7 linked regions of the Daphnia pulex genome follow. The protein of the gene in region 7 interacts with the protein of the main gene of each other region in a biochemical or structural test. Links are inferred from orthologs where the notes say so. Each region holds a gene or a part of one and is shown on either strand. Other genes may lie near its edges. The genes, in order: protein UBASH3A homolog, E3 ubiquitin-protein ligase RAD18-like, E3 ubiquitin-protein ligase AMFR-like, ubiquitin-conjugating enzyme E2 S-like, peroxiredoxin-4-like, 26S proteasome non-ATPase regulatory subunit 14 and polyubiquitin.

Region 1 (4,263 bases), about 770 kb from region 7:
CAAAAGATGTGATGGATGTTGAATTCACTGGGCGGTTTATCAGTCGGTAGTAGAGTCCCGACGAAAATCAATAGTGGGTTGCGCCCGACATCTTCGATTTTGTTCGTCTCCATTCACATCAAATTCAAGATTTTTCGGATGCGTGTTGAAATGGAAAGGCGATGTGAGGTTGATGATGATTTATAGAAGGGGGGAAATCCTCAAGTGTGTATTGCGCATGTGGAATGAGCACGATTTTTAAGCCCGCAACTCTTTCACACAACAAAATGCGCCCATGTGATACAAGTCCGTTTGTTTTGCAATTTAAAAAAAATGATGAAAAGCCCAGGATTGCAGCTGACGCCACTGCTGGTCACACACAAAAAAATGGATGCCAAATAGGAGGGGAATCATAGTAGGGGAGGAGGTGAATGACGGTTTTTTTTCACAGCGACAAGGAGAAAAGAGAAAAAGTGGAGGAGCTTCTGCTTTGAAAATTATTATCTGCACAACAGGTAAGTGTGTGTGTGTGTATGTGATAGACCGGAATCAATTAATCGGCATACTTGCTGTAGCTGGGGGAACGTGAACGACTGCGTGAGTCCCTGCAATAACAAAAAGAAAAGTTTGTTTTGATGGCTTTTGCAACAGGAAGAAAATGTCAGTAGTTAAGGATCTTACCTGCGAACTCGGTCGCGAGAGACTGATCGAGAGGCTTTCCTGTCGCGGAAACGATCACGACTGCGTGAACGTGATCGTCTGGGTGAGTATCCACCACCTCTCCTTGCTGGAGGCCCACCACCTCCTCTGCGGTCTCCACCACGTCCACCACGGTCTCCACCAAAGCCATTACTTCTCCTCTTGCCTGTAGACATTTCCACCTTCACTCTGGCACCACATAAACGCCTGTGAAACACAATAGCATAAATAACAGATTGTTTGTTGTCAATAATCAACTGCAACTCACACTCCATCAAGGGCACGAACTGCATCCTCTGCATCTCTCGGGTCTTCAAATTCAACAAAGGCAAAGCCAGGGGGATTTCTTGCTACCCAGACATTTCTCAGTGTGCCGTACTTGCTGAAGGCTTCTTCGATCTCGCCTCTGGCCGCGTTAGAGCCTAGATTGCCAACATAGACTTTACAACGCGGATCCCAGTCTTGATGGCGGGACGACATGGCAGGTGCTTTGATGGCAAACGACGATAGAACGAGCAGTTGTAACCGTTGAGTTTGAGTTGAATAAAACGGAGCTTAGTCACGATATCAAAATTTGTGTATCAATAAACTGTATTACCTGGTATATTACGAGTATAAATGGGCGAAACAATATTTAGTTTGACTGTCAAAAGCAAAGAAACGCGGCCTGAGTCCAAGAGGAGGGGAGACGCGTCTAGCCGGTTGTTTCCAATTACTCGATGTAGACAACCACATATTCAATTCGCATTTGTCTTTTTCTTGTTGCCAGTTTTCAATAAAAACATACGCCGCAAATTTGAACGAAAGAGATTTGGCAATCACGAACGCATTTTATTTGGTAAAAAAAAATAACAAAAATGCAGAAAAGATAAGTGTCATTTCATTTTGTTAATGAAAATTCGTTCGAGTCATGAAAAGGTTTGAAGATGTTTACAAATTTTTATTCGATCTTAATTTAATTGCTCTTCTTCATTACAGTCCACTGGCCATGTTATCTTCAACACCATTCCACTATATTTAGAGACATTATCGGGATATTAAAATCGAATTTCGGTATTATTAGGGATTCTTATCTCATCGCTGCTCATATGCGTCACCGTGCAAACTAAAAGTATTCGTCTTGAGAGACATGGCTGAACTACCACCCAGAAAGAATGCAACTCCGACAAAATTGACAAAGCTGTTGATCTCACCTCTGCAGGTTCTCCTGCAGATGGGTTTTCCAAAACACAGAGCGTAAGTCACCCTGTAGCTCATAATACTCGGCACAACATGTAATTCTGTTTGTTGCTTTTACAGGGAAAAAGCCCTCGCTGCAACTGGATACAGAAATGTTCAGTTAGCATCAGACTGGTTGCTGGCCCATGTGAACGACCCCACCTTAGATGACCAACAGCCTAGAGAGTATCTTCTTTACCTGTGTCCGGCTGGCTATCTGCAAAGTCAATTGCAGGAATTTTGGGCCAGATCAGTTCGAGAGTGTGGCAGAAACGGTGCTCATGAGTTCCTACCCCATGTCACTCTAGTTCCCCCTTTCAAGGTTTATCAACAATATATATATCTACTGAAACTGGCATCATTGTAACTGAGTGATTGATGTTAGGTACCTGACAGCAGTGTCCCCAGCATTGTGAGCCTCCTGGAGAGGATTACAGAGCATGAGAGCCACCCCATTCCTGAATTAAGACTAGAGACCTACATTTCACAAAACTTTATGGGCTTCTTCCTCAATCAAGACTCTGCTGAAGTCATCAAAGTCATGGCTTCTCGGTTTGCTAGGGAACTAGCGCAAATCAGTATACATTTACGAGATTATTATTTTATGGCTCCAGAACGTTTCATTAGCTTTGATTCTTATTGCGTGTTTTACAGACGTTGCAGCGGAAGCCCACACACAAGCCCTTCACCTGACGTTGGCATACAATTTTCCATCTGGTCAATTCAGCACACTGGAATATCTTGTTAGAGCTCTGAATCCCAACAATGGCTATTCTCATTGGCAACTACGACTTTACTCGAGAGATATCCGCCTTTCAGGGAAGAAAGTCTACAAGGTCGTCTTCCCGCACGTTCCCCGTGAAACGGACGAACTGGAATTGCTCCTGGGCGATTTTGTTTACGTCGATCCTGAAGCCTGTAATAATTCCATCGACGGGTGGATCGAAGGCATCTCCTGGCTTACTGGTAAATAAGTTCTTAAAAACTATTATTCTCTTGAATTCGATTTAGAAACTGCGGCTTCTTCAGGTTGTTCGGGTTTTCTGCCAAAGAATTATGTCGAGAAAACTGCCGAATCGGACGCCTGGACCCTGCACAAGTACCGCCCATATAATTAGATAGTTCATAATCGAATTTGCTTGTTAACATCAAACTGCTGTTAACAGGAGTGTGGAGTTGAATCCATCCGCTGACGACTTGGACGAAATCGACGGAATTTCAGCATCAAGCGATCAAGCCCGGAGATTGTTGAGTCAAGTGTCGCCGGAATTGGGTTCTAACAGCGGCAAAAGTTCACCCACCGTTCGCCAGGAAATTAGTCCACCAAGAGGGGTGGCCGTTCGACCAACAGAGCTTTCAAAATGTACGGAAAACTACGTCAATTCCGATTTAGATATGGCCGGATTGTCTCCTGTGGTTGAACGGCCTCTAGCCTTCAAACAGGGTCCTCGACGGTTGTTTATAGTCCGCCACGGAGAAAGGGTCGATTTTACATTTGGCACCTGGATTCCTTACTGCTTCGATGAATCAGGTATGTCGGATTATTCAAATTAATAGAAAATTTGAATTTTAAAATTATTCGTTCATCTTGCATTACAGGTAAATACGTCCGTAAGGATCTGAACATGCCTCTGAGCGTTCCCAAACGTCAGGGATCGCCCGAGTCTTTCTTCAAGGATTGCCCGTTGACTATCCTGGGAGAAACGCAAGCTGGACTTTTAGGCCAAGCTTTACGCTCTGCTGGCGAATCCAACAAGATCCAGCACGTCTACTGCTCTCCTTCGCTTCGCTCGCTGCAAACGTGCCAGAACATTCTGAAAGGCCTGGAGATTGAGCAGTCGATCCCGATTAGTTTGGAGCCGGGATTGTTCGAGTGGCTGGCCTGGTATCAGGACTCGATGCCGCAGTTTCTCACACCTTCGGAGATGCTGGACGCCGGCTTCCGTCTCCGCGAGCAGCACCAGTACTTTATCGACTTTAGCGAGCTTTGCGACCGGCGTGAGTCAGCTGAACAGTATTACATGCGCTCGCATTACGTCACCCAGTGCGCCCTCCGCTGCACTGAGCACATCGGTAACATTCAAATTGGATTTTCAAAAGAGTCTTGATCCATCCCTCTCATTTGAGACTTAATTATCTTTTAATCGAAAAAGGTGGAGACGTTCTCCTGATCGGACATGCCTCGACGCTGGATGCCTGTTCCAGACAGCTGGTGGGTGGATTACCGCGATCGGCTCAGGAGTTATCGAGAATCGTCCACCGGATCCCTTACTGCAGTTTGGCCGCCGTCCAGCAGCAGCAGCAGCAACAGTGTCCAGAAGAGCCGGCCGATGATTCAGCCGAGGAAATTGGTAGTAAGCCCCGTTG
Region 2 (3,745 bases), on a different chromosome or scaffold from region 7:
TGGAAAGCGTTGGACCTAACGTTACTTCCGTTGAACCAGGTTATTTCATCTATTTAAATGGAAACGATATAATAAAATTAAAAGAACCATCGATTACAATTAGGCGATCACGTAATCCCGGTTTATACAGCTCAGTGTTACAATTGTGAATTTTGCAAGTCTAGCGAGACCAACATTTGTAATGTTAACGGCACATTCCAAGTAATCCACTAATCCTACAGTTGATAAAACGAAACGAAATTTACATTTCTATTTATATATAGCTTGCTGGATTAATGAATGACGGTACGACTCGCTTTACATGTCGTGGTCATTGGTCATTGATATTAATCCATCTAAAGAAAATATTGGTTTGAATTCATTTATCTAATGCTGGTAAGTATTTTTAAAACTTGGATTGAATAATGATTATTACAGGCAAGAAATTTGGAATCACTGATTTCATCAACCCAGATGACTACAAAATACCTATAGAGGAAGTAATTATGGATATGACAACAGGAGGATTAGACTACGCTTTTGAGTGTTGTGGCATCCCCAGTTGCATGGTAGTACAAATTAAAATTTGTTAGCTAATGACTTTAATAGATTTTTTTGCATTTCAGAAAGCAGCAATGAATGCCTGTAAAGAAGGTTTGAGTGTATTAACTATTGTGGGAGTAGCTGATTTGACAGCAGAAGTCTCGTACAATCCTATACAACTAATCTATGGAAGAACCATTAAAGGGACCTATTTTGGAGGTTTAAAATATTTAAATAAAAATTTTAATACCATGGATCATACAATAAGGCCATCATATGTCAGGGTGGAAGAGCCGTGACCAAATCCCAAAGTTAGTGGATGAATATTTAGCCAAGGAATTGATGGTGGATGAATTTATAAGCCACACCATGCCAATTGAAAACATAAATGAAGCTGTGGAACTAATTGAAAAAGGAGAATGGTAACAAATGCTTAAAAAATTTTTTTAATCAGAAAAAAATATATACCTGCATATGTTTTTTATTTTCAGTTTGAGAAGCATGGTCACTTTCTGAAACAATTGAACGTCGCAACACAGTATTAAAATCTAATTTTCATCTTATTCCATTGATACGAAATATAATTGCATACCGTGGAGAATCCTATCATCTGAAATTATAAATTATAAAAACATATTTTGATTTCAAATTCAAAACAAAAAAAGTTGTACCGGAAATAAAAATGGCAACGTTGCTGTTAACATGAGACTTGAAAAGATTTTGTGATGGCGCGGGCTGTGGCTTTGATCATGTAAAATTGTGAAACAATAGTACAATACTGCATTGAAATGGGAGATTTGTTTAACTCAGATGACATTCCAGTTACTTGGCCGAGAGAGTTGCCTCAGTTAAAAAATATAGATGACCGTCTACACTGTCCAATATGCTACAACTATATGAAAAATCCTGTGATATCAACTGCTTGCTCACACAATTGTAATACCTTTATTAGTTTTATATTTACATATTAATACTAAGGCTTCATGTGTGCTTTTTTTTAAAATTTACAGTTTGTTCGTTATGCATCAGGAAAAACATAAGTCTCAAGAACAGCTGTCCAATATGTTTTGTTGACATTTCTGATGGGTTGCTGCGCCCAAACCGTTGCCTTGAAGAAATCATCAAATGCTTTCAGCCAGTAAAGAATTATGTTTTGAATACTCTAGTGAACACCAGAGATCAACAACAAGAAGGTTTTTCAACAGAAACTTCAAGAGACAGTTTATCTTCTCATTCCTCAGCCATAATTCACAAACAAGCAGAAAGTGAAATATTGCCTGGTCAGAATGTTCATAAAGAGAATATTTCATCATCTTCTTTCACAGCAGCTGATGGAAAAAGTCTGAACAGCTACATTTCTGTCTTTTTGGCATCATCAAGTGTTCCTGTCGTAGATACTCATCAACCTCCAATAGCATCATGCAGCCAACCTGTAAGAGCATCAAGACCTAGTGCTCATCAGAAACCTCCAAGTCAATCTTCTAATGATGTGAAAGAAGTTCTTTGTCCTGTGTGTCATAACTTGATAAGGGAGACTATTATCAACATTCATCTGGATTCATGTTTGAACTCAAACAAACCTGCCAAGAGGAAGCCCATGCCAAAGCTGATATATCATCTAATGAAGGAACAAGAGCTGAAGAAAAGGCTTAGAACATTGGGACTCAGCAATGTTGGTGACAAAGCTACTCTGATCAATCGACACAAGAAGTTTACCATTCTCTACAATTCTGAGTGCGATGCTTTGGAGCCCAGACCGGTCGAAGAACTGATAGAAATACATGTACGAGAAGAAGCCGAAAACCATCGATTGGCTACTGAACTACGTCTTGCTTCCGCTAAAGTGAAAACAAATGATATAGAAAAAATCGAGGAGGAAAATCTTCAGTATTTACGCAGTAACAAAGAGAGTTACGATCGTTTAATCAACGAAATTCGGCAGCGTCCACCTTTGCCGCCACCACCTATTACTCTACCGTTGCCTGAGGAACCTCCAGCTTTCAAAATCAAGAACGAGCCTCCGAAAGTAGAAAATGAAAGCGAAGAAGAAGTGACGGAGATCTATGTCCCACCAAAGGTTTACGAAATGATCTGTTTATCGGACAGTAGTGAAAGTGATGAACCACCTTCGATTAGTTCACGTCCGGTTTCAGCTGCTGGTACGTCTGATAGTGACGTCTCTAGACAATCAACTTCCGATGATTCCATTCCCGATCCATTGGAATCTGGGAGTTCTAAGGATAGCAATTCTTTGTCCGTTGGTGCTCAAACTATCACTTTGTCGACAAGTGATTCAAGTAGCAGCAATTCCACTTCGCCAACGACCTACAGTCCAGTTGAGTCACCTACCGAATTTTTATTTGAAGAAGAATCTAGCAGTAGCTTGAGCGCTATGTTGCCCACCGTACTGAAAATGTCAAAGAAAAGGTCAAAGTCTCCTTCGCTGAACATGTCCGACCGCAAACTGTCATTAAGAAGAAGATTTTGAAGATAGTTGTGGCATTATTGTGTAAATATTTTTTCTAATAATTTCTTTTTGTTTGTGCAAAAATGGTTTGCCCTGCTATTCTTGCATGCCAGTCATTTTGGTTCTAAATTTTATGTTTCCGATCGAGAATAAATTGCTTACAAATTTCAAATGAAAGCGACGAAAAATTGAAAATGTAAAAGAAACTGGCATCCTAATTGTTGAATGATAAATAAAACCCCAGAAATGTCCTGAGTATTCATTCCAGATTTAACTGAGTATCTTATTAAAGTGAAAGTCCTTCAGTCACGGAATGATCCATGCATCTAATTCCCTAATTGAGATGAATCACGTTTTCCATTAATTATGAATTGATTGATCTATGATTACACAAGCAGGATGCCTGCTTAGGAATAGGTACGTGATTTTTAAGTAGGAAAAGAGTAGTAGATCAAGGACCGGATATTGACCCAGTCTGTCAATCTAGTTCTGACTCAAGTAGAAGTGCAAAGTCTGATGACGTACTTCCTCGGCTATCCAAATCTACTGATGCACTCAATCTATCGATGATTGATCTTTTGATTTCTGTCAAACATTGGATGTCAGGGCAGTTTTGCGCAAGGCAGAATAATCTCTAGAAGGATAAAAAGAGAAACCTCACGTATCGCCAGAGGTGAACAGGTGAGGGCTTTTTGTGGGTCGTCAGAGATAATCGGATTGTATGCCTGTCATGAATACTAATCGTGTAGAAGAAAT
Region 3 (3,955 bases), on a different chromosome or scaffold from region 7:
ATAAACATAAATGTTAACTGCTTGTGAAATGCGTGTTGTAAAACGCTACAGTATAAGAAATTGGAATAGAGCCAAAATGAAAAAAAAAAAAAGATTCTCTTTAAAGTGCAGAGAAAGAGAAAATGAAATGAACTTCAAAAGTCACTTCAATTACTTAGCCATCCCTTGTTTTCGCAAAGTTATTGTTGCTTCATTTATTTATATTGAAGGATTACCACTACATCGGATAAAAGCGAAACAGGGCGCAAATTTCAAATGGAAACCTTGACCTGTCGTGACCATCAGGAGGTACGCGATAAGACTTTGGTATGTAGTGGATTCAAATTGTCTCGAATGTGAACATTTACAGAATTTAACGGTTCAGTTACTTTGCAGAGCTGACGCCCTATTGTAACGAATGTTGAGGACGCAAATCAGGCGTTATAACAGTGCCGTGTGTGTGCAAGGACACCTTCTTCCGGTCCCCATCTGGTACGAAATGACACGCTACTTTTTTCATAACCGCCCAACAAGACGATAAAATCGGCTAGACATGCAGCTAGACAACGTTTTATTTCTGATGTTTCTCCCTTTTTTCTGTCTTCCATCACGCGTTGCCATCAAAGCAGAAATAATAATAGTGAATACATTTTCTTTTCAAGGTTGATTCGGGAGTGCAATTTAGATTAGCGTAATTGAGTACTCTTATGCGTGTCTTAGGGCAGTGCCATAAAACTGAGCATTTTTGGTGCGGGAGAATGTTGCGGAATATTTAGCGAATATATCTCAGAAAATTATTAAGGGATCTTATTGAAGTTGTTTCTGAGTAAAAACAATAAAATCTACTCAGACTTGTGACGTATCTTTTTCATTTTTAATAACAAACCAGTATTCGTCGATCTAAAAACAGATTCAGCCCAGTCCCAGCATCACATGCGTAATGAATAATTGAATATTTATTAGCTTGACTGTCCGAGTCTCCGAGAGCGCAATTCAGTCTACATCTACATTTGAGAACATGTATGCAAAGTTGACATTGAATACATTTTTTCCCCTGGGGATAGCGAGACGAAATCTGCCTTGTAATTTTTGCATATTTTTGACCTTGCTAGAAAATAGTTTGCTGGAACTTTTTGAGGTTGACGCCCAAAACGTCAGTAATTTTTTTTCATTCCGTTTGCAGTGTTTACGTGTACTAGATGCTGTTTAGCCTTACCCGCCTTATCAGAGTTTTGACACATTTTCGGATTATTGAATCATTTGACAAGGCACTTGTTATCGAAATGGTCGTTAGATAACGCAGTGTTATCAAGATGAAATTGCCTTGAATTGCTGTGCTAGCTAATCCTAGTTATTTCTGCTGATGTTTTCAAATGCAATTTTCACCCCAGATTTGTTAGTAGTTTTGTCGTCTTGTGAACCCAATTTTTCTGTGTCAACAACAACAACATGCCTGTCTTACTACTTGAGAGACTACCTCTCCCGAGTTTGGAAGCTTACGCGGTAGTCAGTGTTTCTCTTTTGGGTTTGTCTCTTCACTACGCTGCAGAAAAAACACAAAACCCTGAATGGAGGATGCAATTTGTTAAAACGAATAGCAGCCAAGAGATTCCCAACTCCTTGCAAGCATTTATTTCAAACATCCTGTCTCGTTACTGGCTCAGCTCCAGAGCTCAAGATATTGTGTCATTTTCTATCCATGACAGTCTCTGCATTTGGGTTAGAACATGGCCATCCTATATTATTAGTCAATATCCAACACTTTAATCCTTTTTTATCTTCTATCCTTTACAGATTGTTGTGAACATGGCTTACTGCCTCCTTGTATTATTTGGAAATTGGCTGCAGAAGCAGGTGTTTGGGGAACTAAGAGTTTCTGAACTACAGCACATCAAAGACAAGTTTTGGAATTTTGTGTTTTACAAATTTATTTTTATATTTGGCATTAAAAATGTTCAAAGTATGGAAGGTGTTATATTATGGGGGTCCTGGTTTTCTGTTATTGGCTTTCTACACATTCATGCTCAACTTTGCCAAGACAGATTTGAATATGTAATTGGATTTTATCTTTCTTTTTTAAAAGCTCAAACAGGTATTGTAATTTATCTTATGTTTGGCGAAATTATAGTTATCTATGACTCCATGTACCCCTCGAAATCGACACATCCGCTTGCTTACCCTGCTGGGATCGATTCTGGTGGCATCGGGATTATTATTTTTGATTTGCCTCGCCGTTGGACAACGCGCTGGATGGATTACATTTGCCTTGGTCGCCCCGGAATGTCTTCTCTTGGCTTTACGTACCACCCACGTTATCTTTAGATACATCCTCTACCTGCAGTCTTGTCATCCGCCCATCCATCAGATCTCTCAAGGTTACTTGAGTTGCGCATTCGCAACAGAGACTCTCGATGTGCTCAAACATCTGACGATTGTTGGATCATAGGGTGGAGTCCTTCGTCGTACTACGTGGAATTGGCGGTGGAGATTTCATGCCTCGTTGTGGATTTGGCACATCATGTGAGACGAAATTGCTTTCTGCAATGCGACTGAATTTCGGTAACCCCTTTTTTGTCTCTTTTCGTTTAGATTCACATGCTTCTGCGAGCGAATATGCTGCTCTCTATGGCATCTTTGGTCATTTTCATGCAACTGCGAGTGCTCTACGAACAGCTGTGTGGACGTCTCCGGCGACACGGGAACTACAAACGGTTGCTGAAATTGGTGGAATTGGTTTGTACTCGAGTCGATCTAAAATATCTTAATCTCCCCTTCTTCTGCCAAGTCTCTAGTTTTAATCATTTAGTAATTTATTCTGTTATAATAGTGCTGTCCCTTGGAAACACTCCATTTCGAACTCGAATCTGAATGGGAGGATAACAAATGTGCCATTTGCTGGGAAGCAGCAGCTGTAGCCAGACGGTTGCCGTGTGGTCATCATTTTCATCATGGTATTGATTCATAACAATTAATGAGGCAATCCTTCATCTATCTATACTTGTATAGGTTGTCTGTTGCACTGGTTGGAACAGGATCCTACGTGCCCTACGTGTCGACGCCAACTTTTAGAAGATGGATCGAAAGAAACTGCTTCGTCTTCACGTCCCCGGGAAACTGCAAGTTTTATATCGTGGACGGGCTGGAGTCGACTGTTTCAACAAAACACTGATACTCCGGTAGTAGCAGCTGCAGAAAACTCTCAATTGGAAGCTTTAGCTGATCAGGTGTGACGAAATCTATCATAAAATTCTACTAATTCTTGTTCAACAATTTAAATGTTTATCGTTGTAGGTACTTCAATTGTTTCCCGATTATTCGTTTTCTGTTATCGTTGAAGATCTACGGCAAACTCGCTCAGTAGACTTAACAGTTGAGAATATATTAGAGGGTCGTCTTCTGCCCACACTTCCCAGCTTTCAACAAGAGCCTAGTCTATCTACGTTGCCAACATTCGCCAGGCAAGAAAACCAATTTGATGTTTCCCAGGAACCAGAGAAGCTCTTTGTTGATGATCCGCAAGAAAGACAACACATTCTTCAATGTCGTAAGCATGAATTAATCGCGGAAGCTCGAAATCGCTTTCTTCAGAGACAAGCACTCGAAAACAATTCCACTATCATTGAAAGTTGATTTTCTTGCTATACACGTGTGATTCTAATTTGTTATTGATCCTAAAGTGCGTAAATTATGCATTAGTGCATCTCATAATTCAAAAAACCTGTTTGTATATTGGCAAGGTAAATTATGAGTAGAAAGATAGTGCCTTTTTAATAATTACGAAATACCGCTTCGCTCGACTGGGCGTGGAAGAAAACCCTCTCTATGCCGCAAGCTAGTCCCATCACACAGACGTTCACTGTCAAACAGGGCCTACAAACGTGATTTTACTGATTCACTACCGACGAAGTGAATGCGCAATCAATAGTAACATTTGATTACCAAACATGTAGAGGACGAAATCGGAAATGTGTGACAT
Region 4 (3,067 bases), on a different chromosome or scaffold from region 7:
CTTGACGCGAACTGCTGTTGAATTTTTCTGAAAAATGTTAAATGGGAAAGTCACAATTTGAGTGGAGGTTTTTGAACTTGGATCAATGACCTTCTACGAACCAAACAGCAATCGGCCGTTTCAAATGTTACCTCGATTAACTCGGTGTCGTCTTCGCAAACAGTCCATGTCACGAACAAAATTAAAATGATTAAAAGTCGCATAGTGGGAACGTAGAGACTGGTTCAAACTGTACACAACCGAAGGTGCAGGTCAAATGAGGTTGTGAGTGAGGTTGGTGTGGTCCTGCTAAAGGTGGTGCAAGGTCGTTACTCCCAAGATAATTGCACTCGCCAAATTACCTTCCGAGTGAGTAACCTGGGGTTAAGGGATTTATAATAGATTCAGGGAAACGAACCATTAAAGTGCGATTCCAAGAAAATCTTAAACGTTCACAGCAAATCAATAATTAAATGTAACCTGTGATAACTTACTAAAGGTAAAAATATGAGTTGAATGGGTTATCAGCAAATTTTTTTATATTTCCTTCGACCTCACACGACTGAAAAATCAGCATAAAATTAAGAGAAAGAAAAGGAAACTGAATCAACACTCTCCTCCCTTCCGCGAGTGTAAAAACTAGACATGGATAGATTTGCTCGTTAAATAACGCGCACTGCATAGAAGTGCGGGAACGAAACAATTCAAATGGTATGGGAGATGGAGAATTATGGAGTTTATCGCTGAGAAAGACTACGGATATTTTCAAACCGTTGCTAGATGTGAAGCAAGAAGAAACAGAGAAAAAGGCATTTATGTACAGTGACGCTCATAATCTCTTCAATGTTCTCTTTTTGTCCTTGGCCACTGGCTTTTTCTTATCCGCCAAAACTGTGCGATCAGTAGCAGCTTTTTTCGATGCTGTAGGGCCTTCCGTTGGGTTGTTGTCTTCATTCAAGTGGGCATCCGCGTTCGACTTCAATCAAGGAATGAAAATGAAATAAATACAGTAAGTTGGTAAATTTGGTTTTGTTTACCTGATTTTGACTAACTTTGGCATGAATTTCAGTCATCATTTTTGCTCTTTGAAAGTAATCTTCATAATGCTCTAATAAGAGCTTGCCAGCCTCTTCATTCAAAGCCGACTCTGCATTGGGGACAATTAGCAAACATTTGATAGTCTAAAAAAGAGATTTTAGGTTAGTTGTGAAATAGAATTGAACTCTTAAATAGTCGCACCAGAAATATATGTTTGATACCCAGATCAGGCTTCCAATCTTTCTTCAAGGTGTTGACACAAATTTCGCCTTGTTGCGAGACATTGGGATGAAATATTTTGGTTAAAAAGAAACCTTTCGGAGGACCAGAGGGGAAATCTTTTCCTAGCACTAATTTTACTCTAAAATGTCCACTAGCATATGGGGTACCAGCTGATTGTGGGGGAAATGATTTAAAATGATTTAATTTTAGGCTTTATTTTTAAATGAGAATTACTCTTACCAGGTCCATCAATAATGGCTTGAATATCAGATATGTCTTCTTCATTGAGAATAACTTTGATGCCTTCAGGTGGATCACTAATAAGCTGTTGAAGTTCCTTGCAAATTTGGCGACTAACTTGAGGTGCCAAGTTTTCAAACGAAACCTAGATTAAACGGTTCAAAATGGGCGCAACTTTAAAGTCTAAAATTGCAAGCTGTAACTCAATTTTCTAAAAACTTACTGAAGCCATGAGGGTTAAAAACAAAAGAGCAGAAAAGTGATATGTTCACGAAACAGAAAACGGAAGAGTAAATTTGAAAAGAATTTTGATACGACCGTTAGAACGGTTAGAATTTGGACAATATCAGGAAATTTTGGCCTCAGAGTTCAGAGACAACAAGAATACAAGATGCACACCGTTGCCGAAATGGGTACCAATTTAAAAAAAACGTATTCGAAAAATTTATTTATTTTTTTTATGATTTTAAAATAAAAACATTTTCTTTCGACATGAATTGGTTTTTATTCGTGAAAAATCTGCGTTGAATTTCAAGTAATTTGCAACTCGCGAGTTTCACATTCTATTTTCAAGGTCCTTGTCAACGTTGCGTGTGAGTCACGAACCTTTCTCACATGCCATAATATTTATTCTATTTTTTTATACGTGCCGTCTCGGGCTCTTGGTTTCTTAAAACTGTCTAATATAATAGGTTTCAAAATGCCTGATATCCTTCTTGTATCCGACCAGGTGACTATTTTCGTTTGTTTGCAGCACACTAAACCCATTGTTTATGTTTTTCTGCCCAATTTCAGGAAAAGAGGATAAAATCTCTAAAACGGCGTATTGAAACCTGGCGTGTTTTTCTCGTTGCCTTGTATTCTGTCCTCATATGGACTGAATCCTGGTACCCTGCACCTATTGTTGGAACCATTAGCACTGTATTTCTGTAGGTTCTATATTTTTAAAAATTTTTCCTGTGACATGATAAAGTTTCTGTTCGTTTATTAGGATGTACTGGTATTGGAATCCTCCAATCATCACCTCCGTATCTCTATTTTTTCTGATACTCAGTTTGATTGATTACAGTGTTCCTAGAATATGTAGCTGTATATCACAACCTCATCAATGGACAGCATTGAATGGTATACATTCTTCATCTCATTTTCTTACTTGATCAAAAGGTAACTTGATCATTTCTCCATAGAGAAAAAGTTTGAGATAATCTGTGAAACTCTGGTGAAAACTCAAGATAAAATTTACAACCAGATGACATATTTTATTGATCTCAAAAGGACAAATCCTAAAATGGTGATTTCTTTAATTGATACAGTGCATAGATTTTGATATTTTTAAATGTAACCTGTTGTTATGTTTTATCTTCCAGTATTTCTTGTCACTCTTTTCATTCTGCAGTCTTTCAGCTTGGATTGGTTATACAGTCAACAATTGGCTCATTTGTTTTATTCTTGGTATGTAATATTATTAATTAAAACTATTTAGTATTCTGAATTGTAATCAGCATTTTGATTGTTATAGTCACACTCATCTCATTGTATCCTGGCGTCAAACACAACGAAGTACTATCAAAATTTCTGTCGATATTCC
Region 5 (3,808 bases), on a different chromosome or scaffold from region 7:
CATGTTTATTTGCTGAAGCATTTAAATCTCAAATGTAACTTTAGGCCCAAGGAATTTGTCCCATTAGCTTCAACAGAAGTTTGTGCAGACATTAGTTCTGATGATGATGATAGTTCTTCAGGAAGTGATGATTTGTTTGTAAATACAAACAGACCTCAGTGTGTATATGAATCAACAGACAGTAGTGAAAATGAAGTATCTGATTCTGGTGCCAACAAAGATGACGATTAAAAATAAACTAAATGTTTTAATATGCTTTCCCTTGTTATAACTTGCTACAAAACTCTGTACCACTGGGCACTCATGACTTGTTATATGGAATTATTTGGCCATGTGTTTCTGGACAAAAAATACAATTCTAATGATGTGTGAGGAGGAGTAAGAGTTAGAAAAATAACTAGACTTTTTGAACAGGTTTCCTTTATTACTCTCATCAGTCTATCCTGGCGTCAGTAGATTCAATTTGTATTATTTAAAACTCAATTTCAAACAATTTAAAATATTGTTGATCCAATTTATTTAACTTGAACCCAATAACCAACAATCAATTCAAAATTGAATCTTTTTTGTGAATTAATAATTCAAATTTCATCCTTTTGTTTCTCGAAGTATAGTTTTTTCTCGATCGGATGGGGAATAATCTGATGAGGAAAATTTCATAGCATTAATTATTTTGCGTTTTACTTATGTCATCCCTTACCGTGTCGGCTCCGGGTTTCCATCCAGCAGGACAAACTTCTCCGTGATTATCGGTATATTGAAAGGCTTGAACAAGCCTCAAGGTTTCATCAACAGACCTACCTACAGGCTGAGTAGAAACACATATTGCTTATTATTACAAATCCTAAACTGGAAAATCCTATTTCTACACATTAAAATTACCAAGTCATTCATTGTGATTTGCCTCAAAACTTGCTTATCATCGATAATGAATAAACCTCTAAGTGTATGTCCAACATCTTCCAAATAGACACCTATTAATATATAAAAATTATAAAGTAGGTGCAAATTTATAAGGTTAAGTACTGTGAAAAAAGCTACCATAGTCAGTGGAAATCTTGTGTGATAAATCTGAGAGCAACGGAATGTTTAGAGGACCGAGTCCACCTTCCTTTCGAGGAGTGTTAACCCAAGCCAAGTGAGTGAAATGTGAGTCCACTGAACAAGCCTATGAAATAACTGGATTAGCTGCTGAGTTCAATTTTTAAATGAAATGTACTTTTTACCACAAGTTCAGTGTTAAGCGCGCGAAATTCTTGAATTCTATCATTGAATGCCAAAATTTCTGTGGGACCTGCAAAGACATTCATATAAAATAATGTTTTTTGTTTGTTGTTTTACAGAAAGATTAGAAAGAATAATAAAACAGCTTACAGACAAAAGTAAAGTCCAGGGGATAGAAGAAGAAGACCAAGTATTTGCCTTTGTAATCAGTCAATTTAAGGTCCTTAAATGAGCCATTAACCACCTAAACAGGAAATTAAAAAAAAAATAAATAATGAAAGAATGCATACAAAGAAAATACAAAAGGTATTTACCGCTGTACCCTCCCATAGAGGAGCTTGCTTTGAAACTAAAATAAGAAAGGAAATAATGATCATTAAAATTGTTTGCAGTTCATATATTTTTAATTCAATGTTTGATAACCAATTAATTTTCCTAAATGTCAATAAATATGTAGAAAAATTCTGAACGATCAATTAAAAACTGTATTTTAGAAATAATGCTGATTTTAAATATCATATATTTTATTATTCACAAATGTAATAAAAGTATACTCATGGCTTTTGTCCATTGCAACGAATGGCCACTGCTTTTTCCTGTTTCTCTTGGATAGACAGCACCCCCAGCATAAGTCTGACAGACATCTCCATTTACCGCACTTGCTATGAACAAGAAGATTGCTAATCGTGCCACGTAATAGTACGACTTCGTTCTCGAGTCCGTCGTCATTCTTTTGCTATCGCTACAGCCACCTGTTTTAAAACACTCTAGCATAAAAAATACCCATTAAATACATATGGACAATCAATACAACAATAAAAATCATTGATTTTATTGTTTGATAATGTAGTTAAATAATTACATTTTCGCAGTATACAGTTTGATCCCTTCTGTGATCACTCACTGACGTGATATTGATACGAATCAATGACCTGTGTTCAAAGAGACTGTCAAGTGTCTGACTGATGCACCCATGCACTGATATCCAGATTCCAGTGCCCACAGTAGGGCAGTAGCAAACCAACAATGTAGCAGAATCAACTCTGCCCTGCTGCCTGCCACCGCTGCCACTTTCAAAACTGTGTTCTGTGTACACCAAACATGAATGACGCAGTAAATATTTCGGGCCGCGGCGTTCAACCCAATTTTGTGAACACTGTTACAGTGCCATCTGTTTACCCGAGTATAAAGCATATATTTTTACCCACGAAAATTTTTGAGAAAAATATCAGTTGAGAATTATTTCTAAATACATTAAGTTATTTAAATTTTGATTCTTATTACTAGATTTGGATTTATTGTAGTAGCTGCAAGATATTTCGGACAAGTTATTAGACAAATATTTCCTTTGTGTGTCATAAATTACACCACTATTGTAGCGAACTAGCCTAATACAATCTTCAAGTAAGCAAACGTGAATTAAGTGTCTCTCCCGAAAGCCCTAAACTCAGAACTTACCTTGATTATATTTAGTATGGGGCTCTTCGGGATCTGTTTTATTTAGCCGATTTATCTGGCAACGCAGCATGGTTCGAGACTTTTTTGAGGGAAGAACGGGGAGAAGAGGGAGAATGGGACGAGTGGGAGGGAGGAGGGCGTACGAAAAAAAAGGGGACCCACGTTTCCTCTTCTCCCCCATTCGTCCCATTCTCCCTCTTCTCCCCGTTCTTCCCTCAAAAAAGTCTCGAACCATGCTGCGTTGCCAGATAAATCGGCTAAATAAAACAGATCCCGAAGAGCCCTATTGGACCTAATAGTTGAATAGTCGACATCCTCGTGCAGACGTACGGTAGCCTACGTCAACTCATTATTGACCCGAGAAGGTTCGACGATTTTTATTTTGTTCATTGGTTGAAAAATGCAGATTATTTTTGCGAAGTGTCTCGAACGTAAAAAAAAACATCCGCCGGTTCTAGATTATATTTCAAATTGATTCTTGATTCTGTTTACTGTTGATCAATGGTTTATCTTTCGAGTTGGCATTGGCGTGAGCTGCACCCTACTGATAACTTGTTTTCAAATTCAAATTTCTGCCACTCCGGGTTGCAATGTTTATCAAGCTGCCAAGCTCAGCAAAAAATCGTCGTTAAAATCGCCTTCCAGTAGCAATATGTTACTTAATATATTCCATCTTTAAGCAATTCGTAAAAGCACAAATAACTTCGAAAAAGTTTTTTTTTCTTCTTCGTTTATATTTTAATAAATCATAATGTAAAGTTATTTTTTTTTTAAGTTGTACTAATCCTTTAGAAACAAATTTCCGACAAATAAATGATCCAAGTGTCTATTTGATAGATTTAACCACAAAAGATGCTCAAACAAATTTTTATGAAAAAAAAGACATAAACAAACTACAGAGTGCAGTTATATATGGAAAAGAATTTTGTTATTTCAGAATTTCTTTACAGACCATAATACATGTAATGTACTGTATATTAACAGACTATCAGGATATTACTTTCAGTGAGAAGTGACTAAAGTTTCAAAGAGTTTTCAACCCGTCGTGTTCTGACATTAAATTTCCAGGATAATATATACAAATGACATTTTGGTAACTCTTATTTAAAGTCCTTTATACTTCCAG
Region 6 (3,195 bases), on a different chromosome or scaffold from region 7:
GCTCATGCCCTATGCACTAATAGCCCAGAACAGCACGAGAAGCAGGCCATTAAACACGTAGCACAAACAACTCGAGTTTATTTTAAAATGCTCAGTGGGTGGCGCGTTGTTAATCTTGAGCAACCACGCCATTTCATTCACCACACATTCTGCTTTTCCTTCCTAAATCCGCGTAGAGTTATTTCAGGTCTAGGTTTTATTTTGCTCCTTTCATTCCGGGTGATCGATATAATCTGTATCACAAAGATCTACTAGTCCCTTTTACCCTTCTTGCGCTGTTCCAAGTTGAGTGCATTAAAAAGGGATCAGAAAACGGGGGGCTTTTTCGATGGCAGCTTTTGAAGCTGTATTGCAAGCGAATCCGAATGAAAACACCAAGTAGGACGTGTTTGGACGATTCTTTTTTTGAAAGGTTTGAATGCGGGGGGTTACCACTTATGACATCGACCCATTTTCTCTATCCTGTACGTGGTTGGTTGGTCTACTCGCATGTAAAATAATGATTTTTGAGAATTATTGTATTCATCGGATAGATATGAGAGGTGCGTCAGCTGAAGTAAATCATCGGAAAGCCACAGTAGAAAGCATAGCTCCCAGACACTGGACAATATTAGAAGTCATCAGTACATCCACTTCCTCCTCTAGATGACGCTTAGGATCTTGACGGCCAACGTTCTTTACTGCGAGTTGTTCGGGTGTCATCTTTTCTTCTTCCTCCAAAGCCTGTCCAACACACATCATTTTAACATCTGATTACGAACAAAGGCCGGTATGTTTCAGAATTTACCTTGTTATAAGTTTTGGCTAATTCGAGCATGCTGCGAACACTCTGCTCGTTGCTTTTGCAGTGTTGCTCGTATTCGGCTAGCGATAGTCCCTCGGTCCATGATTTCTTGTGCAAGTTCCACAACATTTTTTGTTCGAGTTCATTCTTTCGATAGTTGATGCTGATTGAATAGTAGTGGCGATTAAGTCCATGAATCAAGGCCTGGAGAAAAAACCATTAAAAAGTCTTGCAGAATTTAATGTTTTGTAAAATCTAACAAACACACCTGAATTGATGGTTTCTGTAAATGTCCAAGATTTGATGTTGTCTGGCGAGGTTCTTGTCCCAATACCATCATGTTTGGATTTATCAACCTGAATGCATCAATGACAACTTTGCCTGTAAATAAAAAACTATTTATTACAACTGCAAAAAAAAAAATGAATAAATCTGTAATACCTTTGACACTTTGAATAGGGTCAACAACAACAGCGACAGCACGTTCAGACAAGGCCTCAAAGCTCTGCTGTGTGTTGATATCTACACCAGATAACCAACAACCAAATCCAGGATGGGAATGGTACCAGCCAACAACCATTTCAGGGCGGCCAGTTTGCCTGAGCATGTCCAACATTTTAGCTTGAAAAACTGGATCCACAGCTTCAACACTGACACCCTACATAAAGTTTGTTAAGTTACTGTGAGCAAAATTGATAAATGATAATGGTTTCATACTGTTCCTGACTGAGGCATAGCAAATACATCAATCACTCTGACTGTGTAATCGTCAACAAATTCTCCAAGCATAAGTCCCATGACTTCCATTGGAACTCCAGCTCGTCCATGTTTAAGCATTTTCAACAGTGCCAAAGAAGAAATATAAACCTGTTACAACAAAAATGTGAAAACAATTATAATAGGTATAGTAAGTAATTTATTGTAAATGCAAACGAATCTGTCATACCTGTTCGGCTGTGTCGACAACCGGTGCATCAGTTGGCGGAGCAGATTGTCCGAGGCCAGACATCGGGCCACCGAGCCGTAATAGACGATCCATTATCTCTTTAAATTATTAGTTCAAACTTTTTTTCGAATGAAGAAAAAGGAAACTGCTTTGTAGTAGAACGGCCGGTAAAAACAATGAATCCTTCCGTCACAGAATAGTCAATTCACGCTCCGCGCAACGTTTTTCGACGGGTTTATGCTGGTTAGCAACATTGCCCAACAATGAATGAAAAATGTTTCATTATCAGTTTCTATCAAACCCAGTTTTTAATTATCAATATAGATCTTCCATTAAAGAGAATACATTATTGTAAGAAATTTTATTCTTCAGATGTATCTTTTAATTATTATAAAAATTTTATTTGGTCGATTGCGACGTTTGTAGAAATCCAAACGATCGTTTGTCTGACGTCGTTACGAATTCTCTTTGTAAATCAGTTGTTTGACTTGTGAATCACCGAGTCTACTCATCAAAACAAAATGGCTTTGACTCGATCTGTTGCAGCGCTCAAGCTTTCTCGTAATATACCCATTATGAGGTGAGTAGTTAATATTTTAATGAGCATTCTACCTTTGTGACGTGAATTAATTGTCATTTGTTTTGCCTTTTCTAGTCGTTTAGCTTATTACAGCCAAGATGGTGGAGCTGGTGCCATTCGAGAAGCTGGTGGAACTTTCGGAAAGAAGGAAGCCGCTGATGAGGAACGATACTTCCGTAAAATGGTAGAAATATCTTTTTTTACAATTTATGTATAGCTTGTATTGATTTTTTATATGGATGGTAGCAAACTGAACAGCTGAAAACACTTAAAACTCACCTTGATGAGGAGATAACATTTCATCAGCAACGCATGAAGGAACATCAGGATGCAATTGACATTCATCAAAAGAGAATCACAGAGTTGGAGCAGAAAAAGAAAGCCTAATTGTTTGATATGCCTGAGTGTGGTGCAAGGATATCAAAATTCTGGAAGGATGTGTAGCCTTAATGTATATCCTAAAATACAATTCTAGTTTATGGTTGAGCTATTTATTTCCCTGAAAGATGTTGATACTGTAGAAGGAAGTATACAGCCTATGCCCTAAAATATTACTCAACAGGTTAATTTACTTAGGGGACATAATGCCATACACAAAACAGACTTCAAATGAATTTCAACATATAAAAGAACCTTTGTTACATGCTGTGGCAAAAAAAGTATAAATTCAATGGAACATCGTTCGACTGCGAATTATTCGAGGCCATTAATTTTTTGCATTTCTAAAGGAATAATTTTGGGAGCAGCTCTTGTATTGTCTTTCGGGAAATGTATTCAAGATGGCACGCACGACAGTTTTTGATGTAGGTATTCACTTAATTTTGTCTTTTTGTATTGCATCTCTCACCTGACCAACACACTTAACTTGACACTTCACAGCCGAGT
Region 7 (4,143 bases):
GATTATATATTTGCGTTGCCGAGTTTTTGCCGAATACTCCATGATGTGCATCAGTACACGTTGGAAAAAATGTAATCAGGGTACATATTGTAGAGCTAATAAATTGTCATCATTATAGTAAGCAAACAAGGAAAATCCCTCCAATAATGTTACCTTCTTTGTCTTGGATTTTAGCCTTGACGTTCTCAATCGTGTCGGAAGGTTCAACTTCAAGGGTGATGGTCTTTCCAGTGAGAGTCTTGACGAAGATCTGCATACCTCCTCTCAAACGCAAGACCAAGTGAAGGGTAGACTCCTTCTGGATGTTGTAATCTGACAAGGTACGACCATCTTCCAGCTGTTTACCGGCAAAGATGAGACGCTGCTGATCGGGTGGGATACCTGAGTAGAAGAATGGATTAGATTTTTTACGCCATAGAAAGTTGTTTAAGTTCTAGAATTTATATCAGTACACGTTGGAAAATAGGTAATCAGGGTACATATTAAAGAGCTAATAAAGTGTCATCATAATCGATGGAATAAAAAATAAAGACTGCCCCAAATTATTACCTTCTTTGTCTTGAATTTTGGCCTTAACGTTCTCAATTGTATCCGATGGCTCCACTTCAAGGGTGATGGTCTTTCCTGTAAGAGTCTTCACGAAAATCTGCATACCTCCTCTCAAACGCAAGACCAAGTGAAGGGTAGACTCCTTCTGGATGTTGTAATCTGACAAGGTACGTCCATCTTCCAACTGCTTACCAGCGAAGATCAGACGTTGCTGGTCTGGGGGAATACCTACAGAAAAAGCAATAACATTGAAATTTCTACCTAAACATTCTGCCATTTACCACGATACCACATCAGATTTAATTGTAATCATGTTGTTGATATTAGCGTATATAAAATTATCATCATTGCAGAACAACCGAACTTTCAAAAACTAACGTACCTTCTTTGTCTTGAATTTTAGCCTTGACATTTTCAATTGTGTCAGAAGGCTCAACTTCAAGAGTGATGGTCTTGCCAGTCAAAGTCTTGACGAAAATCTGCATACCACCACGGAGACGAAGAACCAAGTGAAGAGTCGACTCCTTTTGGATGTTGTAATCAGACAAAGTACGGCCATCTTCGAGCTGCTTTCCAGCGAAAATTAGACGTTGCTGATCGGGGGGAATACCTGTAGACAATTCAAATCGTTAATATTATCTAGTAGATTAATGCTACCAAAATCATTTAACATTTAAATTTCAGATTATTTAGTAATCAGGGTCCATATTTAGGTGTCCTAAGAGTGTCATCAGCAACTACAATAAATTTCTCTTCTTATTTTTTTCCATTACCTTCTTTGTCTTGAATCTTGGCTTTAACGTTCTCGATAGTGTCAGAAGGTTCAACTTCGAGAGTGATGGTCTTTCCAGTAAGAGTTTTAACGAAAATCTGCATGCCTCCGCGTAAACGTAACACCAAATGTAATGTTGACTCCTTCTGAATGTTGTAGTCGGACAGAGTACGACCATCCTCCAATTGTTTGCCGGCGAAGATGAGACGTTGCTGATCGGGTGGGATGCCTGAACAAAGAAACATTTTGTAATTTCAATCAGACAACTATGGAAATTAAAATGTATTGAATACTTCAGGTTATTGCGATATAATTGTAATCATGAAGAAATTTAGACACTCTAAATGTCATTGTAATCCTAATACTCATCAGGTTAATTTAGTAACAGTAGGCAAAGGTTTGATAGTTACCTTCTTTATCCTGGATCTTTGCTTTGACATTCTCGATGGTATCAGAAGGTTCAACTTCCAGAGTAATGGTCTTTCCAGTTAGTGTTTTGACAAAGATTTGCATTCCTCCTCTCAGACGGAGGACCAAGTGCAGGGTAGATTCCTTCTGGATGTTATAATCAGACAGGGTACGACCATCTTCCAGCTGCTTGCCAGCAAAGATCAAACGCTGCTGATCTGGTGGAATGCCCTCCTTATCTTGAATCTTGGCCTTAACATTCTCGATAGTATCAGAAGGCTCAACCTCAAGGGTGATGGTCTTGCCAGTCAATGTCTTGACAAAGATCTGCATCTTTTTCTGAAGAAACGAAAATTAAACTTACTTTAGTATCATATACAAAACCAGTTTATCAGAAGTTTCATCATAACCAATCGTCATCATTACGTCACGTCGAACAAAGGAAAGTTACGCCCATGCATAAATTTTATTACTAGCCAATTATTTTTAAAGAAGTTGCAATCAAAACTAATGTAATACAAAATGTTTCTAGTAAATTTCAATAACTGTCTCATCTTACACCATGAAATATTTTCCAACCAGTTGTTACTAAGAGAAAAGAGATGAAACGAGGAAAGAAAATGGCGGACACAATCGAACAAAGGGACAACTTGCCACGGCGTAAATTTTTCGTTTCCCCCAAAAAATCTTAGTTAATTTAACTAGTTACACACAAGAACAATGGATATCTATTCAGGACAAAGAAATCAAAGGTTTAACTTACTAAATTTGATCAATCAGATGATAAAGTTGAATTAAAATATGTGTTCGACGAAGCAACTGCTAAGACGTTCTGCTCGAGTTGGGTGCTGGACGCGAATTGATTTTTAAAATGGCTGACGTCGACTTATATAGACGCGACAGAAGCGCCTGGGGAGGTTCGTACCAAGTCCCCTGCGGCTTTCCCTAGCTTTTTCTAGAAGGATTATTTCGTATTTTCGTTTGTCGTTAGATAACGTAACGATGAAACGTCACCTTCTCAAACGTGACTACAACGACAGAGAAACAATATGTGACGTAGAATATTCCGTGATTATGAAATTTGAGCTAATTCTGGAAGTTTCCACATTTTTATCTAAGTGACGTTAATTTTGTACGGATTTGCCTCAGCCTTGAAATAATCGCGGATATCCTTTATTCCTTTATTTCTCATACTTTCTATTTCTTTTCCACCAAACTTTTTGGGTCCAATATTTTCATTTCAAGTAGGTTGCGAACCTTTACGAGATAATATTTACACGTGGCAGAATTTTGAAAGTAGAAACACGTATGAGGTTGCTGGCAAAACTTGTATACAAATAGAAAGTGACGAAGAAAAAAACAACTAATAAGGAGAAATTTCTTAATTAGACCGAACAAGATAAAAACCGTTATGTATTTACGCTTCCATGACTCTGAATAAAACTATAATTCATTGCAAATAAATTCCAATTCAGCGTCGTTTTACATAGGTCTTTATTCAACCTTGAGTTTAAGGGGATTATAATGTGATGATGTTCGCAAAAATGCGCAGCGGAAATGAGTGCTGGTGTCGACGTGTCCCACGTGTTTAATTTGAAGGACTTTGGGCAAGGCTTCTTTCTGCGTGTATAGGACTAATCTGCCTCAGGTTTGTTGGACTTTTCCTGTTGGTGCTTCCTTTGATGACGCAGTAAATCAATGCCGGTCAGCTCCACAGTGGTGCGACAATCAGGACAGAAATAACCCGTTTTCGACTCGGAAGCTTCTGCTGGTTCACCCTGACCTAAATAATAACCCAACAAAACGGAAAATTGTAAACTGGATAGAGGGCAGCAAACAGATTGTTAAAAAACATTTCATACCTCCTTCCATCAACTCTTTTGTCTTCTGGCACTGGACCTGGTGCCTCAATCGCCCTAGACCCGTCAGGTAGAAATTGAGTTCGCATATAGGACAAGCCCATGGTGTGCTGAGATAATCTTGGGTGAAATCGGGTTCTTCCAAACTAGAAAATCGGAAATTTTCTTATAATAATTTTTGAGTTGTTATTTACAATGATAAAATTTCATACCATCCGTAAACAAGAAAGTCGGCCATTTGCAGCCCACCTTTCCTTGGATGGGCGACTGCTTGGAATTCTGGCCAGAACGGGTTAATCTCATTTGGCATTTCTTCATTTGGAGTTTCAGATTCTAGAGCATGGCCCCGGTAAATAACCTTCAAATCAGCTGCTAAAAGTCGTTTAATGGTGTACAAAATTTGAGTTTGCGTGAAGGCAATCAGGTCGTAGTGCAAATCTCTCTGCATTCGTTTCATTTTCTGTTCCAGTTTCTGGACGTCTTTCTCCTTTAGTGGACGATTAGGATCCAGTCGCAGCATAAGGAGGTCGTTCCAGCGGTAACGCAACTGGCACG

What was found.
Region 1: the proteins of polyubiquitin (region 7) and protein UBASH3A homolog form a complex in vitro, tested with the Homo sapiens proteins (6 studies listed by BioGRID, with this or other methods). The link is inferred for Daphnia pulex from reciprocal best matches to the Homo sapiens genes UBC and UBASH3B.
Region 2: the proteins of polyubiquitin (region 7) and E3 ubiquitin-protein ligase RAD18-like form a complex in vitro, tested with the Homo sapiens proteins (7 studies listed by BioGRID, with this or other methods). The link is inferred for Daphnia pulex from reciprocal best matches to the Homo sapiens genes UBC and RAD18.
Region 3: the proteins of polyubiquitin (region 7) and E3 ubiquitin-protein ligase AMFR-like form a complex in vitro, tested with the Homo sapiens proteins (10 studies listed by BioGRID, with this or other methods). The link is inferred for Daphnia pulex from reciprocal best matches to the Homo sapiens genes UBC and AMFR.
Region 4: of the proteins of polyubiquitin (region 7) and ubiquitin-conjugating enzyme E2 S-like, one has a biochemical effect on the other in vitro, tested with the Homo sapiens proteins (10 studies listed by BioGRID, with this or other methods). The link is inferred for Daphnia pulex from reciprocal best matches to the Homo sapiens genes UBC and UBE2S.
Region 5: the proteins of polyubiquitin (region 7) and peroxiredoxin-4-like form a complex in vitro, tested with the Homo sapiens proteins (2 studies listed by BioGRID). The link is inferred for Daphnia pulex from reciprocal best matches to the Homo sapiens genes UBC and PRDX4.
Region 6: the proteins of polyubiquitin (region 7) and 26S proteasome non-ATPase regulatory subunit 14 form a complex in vitro, tested with the Homo sapiens proteins (4 studies listed by BioGRID). The link is inferred for Daphnia pulex from reciprocal best matches to the Homo sapiens genes UBC and PSMD14.

Annotation. Positions count from the first base shown.
Region 1 is NC_060024.1:13,149,973-13,154,235, forward strand, and holds the start of protein UBASH3A homolog, read left to right. Parts: upstream 1-1,463; 5' UTR 1,464-1,596; intron 1,597-1,656; 5' UTR 1,657-1,807; coding exon 1,808-1,914; intron 1,915-1,977; coding exon 1,978-2,218; intron 2,219-2,281; coding exon 2,282-2,474; intron 2,475-2,550; coding exon 2,551-2,862; intron 2,863-2,925; coding exon 2,926-2,995; intron 2,996-3,062; coding exon 3,063-3,427; intron 3,428-3,495; coding exon 3,496-3,969; intron 3,970-4,049; coding exon 4,050-4,263. Other genes in the region: RNA-binding protein 1-like, read right to left, coding at 533-584, 661-885, 947-1,158. UniProt on the Homo sapiens protein: Interferes with CBL-mediated down-regulation and degradation of receptor-type tyrosine kinases. Promotes accumulation of activated target receptors, such as T-cell receptors and EGFR, on the cell surface.
Region 2 is NC_060025.1:2,016,716-2,020,460, reverse strand, and holds E3 ubiquitin-protein ligase RAD18-like, read left to right. Parts: upstream 1-1,310; coding exon 1,311-1,458; intron 1,459-1,532; coding exon 1,533-3,010; 3' UTR 3,011-3,245; downstream 3,246-3,745. Other genes in the region: alcohol dehydrogenase class-3-like, read left to right, coding at 302-350, 418-548, 606-741, 806-944, 1,014-1,038. UniProt on the Homo sapiens protein: E3 ubiquitin-protein ligase involved in postreplication repair of UV-damaged DNA. Postreplication repair functions in gap-filling of a daughter strand on replication of damaged DNA.
Region 3 is NC_060017.1:3,098,094-3,102,048, reverse strand, and holds E3 ubiquitin-protein ligase AMFR-like, read left to right. Parts: upstream 1-1,155; 5' UTR 1,156-1,428; coding exon 1,429-1,698; intron 1,699-1,773; coding exon 1,774-2,031; intron 2,032-2,107; coding exon 2,108-2,354; intron 2,355-2,425; coding exon 2,426-2,499; intron 2,500-2,568; coding exon 2,569-2,712; intron 2,713-2,806; coding exon 2,807-2,930; intron 2,931-2,985; coding exon 2,986-3,203; intron 3,204-3,270; coding exon 3,271-3,609; 3' UTR 3,610-3,637; downstream 3,638-3,955. UniProt on the Homo sapiens protein: E3 ubiquitin-protein ligase that mediates the polyubiquitination of lysine and cysteine residues on target proteins, such as CD3D, CYP3A4, CFTR, INSIG1, SOAT2/ACAT2 and APOB for proteasomal degradation.
Region 4 is NC_060023.1:8,632,004-8,635,070, forward strand, and holds ubiquitin-conjugating enzyme E2 S-like, read right to left. Parts: upstream 1,874-3,067; 5' UTR 1,712-1,873; coding exon 1,703-1,711; intron 1,625-1,702; coding exon 1,480-1,624; intron 1,410-1,479; coding exon 1,219-1,409; intron 1,161-1,218; coding exon 1,017-1,160; intron 956-1,016; coding exon 809-955; 3' UTR 501-808; downstream 1-500. Other genes in the region: uncharacterized protein LOC124197881, read right to left, coding at 1-27, 132-203; ADP-ribosylation factor-like protein 6-interacting protein 1, read left to right, coding at 2,180-2,209, 2,275-2,408, 2,471-2,604, 2,667-2,770, 2,847-2,931, 2,999-3,067. UniProt on the Homo sapiens protein: Accepts ubiquitin from the E1 complex and catalyzes its covalent attachment to other proteins. Catalyzes 'Lys-11'-linked polyubiquitination.
Region 5 is NC_060020.1:8,201,549-8,205,356, forward strand, and holds peroxiredoxin-4-like, read right to left. Parts: upstream 2,378-3,808; 5' UTR 2,087-2,377; intron 1,992-2,086; 5' UTR 1,954-1,991; coding exon 1,779-1,953; intron 1,574-1,778; coding exon 1,539-1,573; intron 1,469-1,538; coding exon 1,375-1,468; intron 1,295-1,374; coding exon 1,227-1,294; intron 1,169-1,226; coding exon 1,042-1,168; intron 975-1,041; coding exon 883-974; intron 809-882; coding exon 701-808; intron 642-700; coding exon 582-641; 3' UTR 501-581; downstream 1-500. Other genes in the region: probable RNA-binding protein EIF1AD, read left to right, coding at 45-231; protein angel homolog 2-like, read right to left, coding at 3,787-3,808. UniProt on the Homo sapiens protein: Thiol-specific peroxidase that catalyzes the reduction of hydrogen peroxide and organic hydroperoxides to water and alcohols, respectively.
Region 6 is NC_060022.1:5,168,487-5,171,681, reverse strand, and holds 26S proteasome non-ATPase regulatory subunit 14, read right to left. Parts: upstream 1,995-3,195; 5' UTR 1,824-1,994; coding exon 1,731-1,823; intron 1,652-1,730; coding exon 1,502-1,651; intron 1,443-1,501; coding exon 1,226-1,442; intron 1,166-1,225; coding exon 1,053-1,165; intron 989-1,052; coding exon 788-988; intron 724-787; coding exon 562-723; 3' UTR 501-561; downstream 1-500. Other genes in the region: ATPase inhibitor mai-2, mitochondrial-like, read left to right, coding at 2,252-2,310, 2,386-2,494, 2,557-2,697.
Region 7 is NC_060024.1:13,920,028-13,924,170, reverse strand, and holds the start of polyubiquitin, read right to left. Parts: upstream 2,801-4,143; 5' UTR 2,493-2,800; intron 2,069-2,492; 5' UTR 2,063-2,068; coding exon 1,732-2,062; intron 1,551-1,731; coding exon 1,323-1,550; intron 1,160-1,322; coding exon 932-1,159; intron 778-931; coding exon 550-777; intron 382-549; coding exon 154-381; intron 1-153.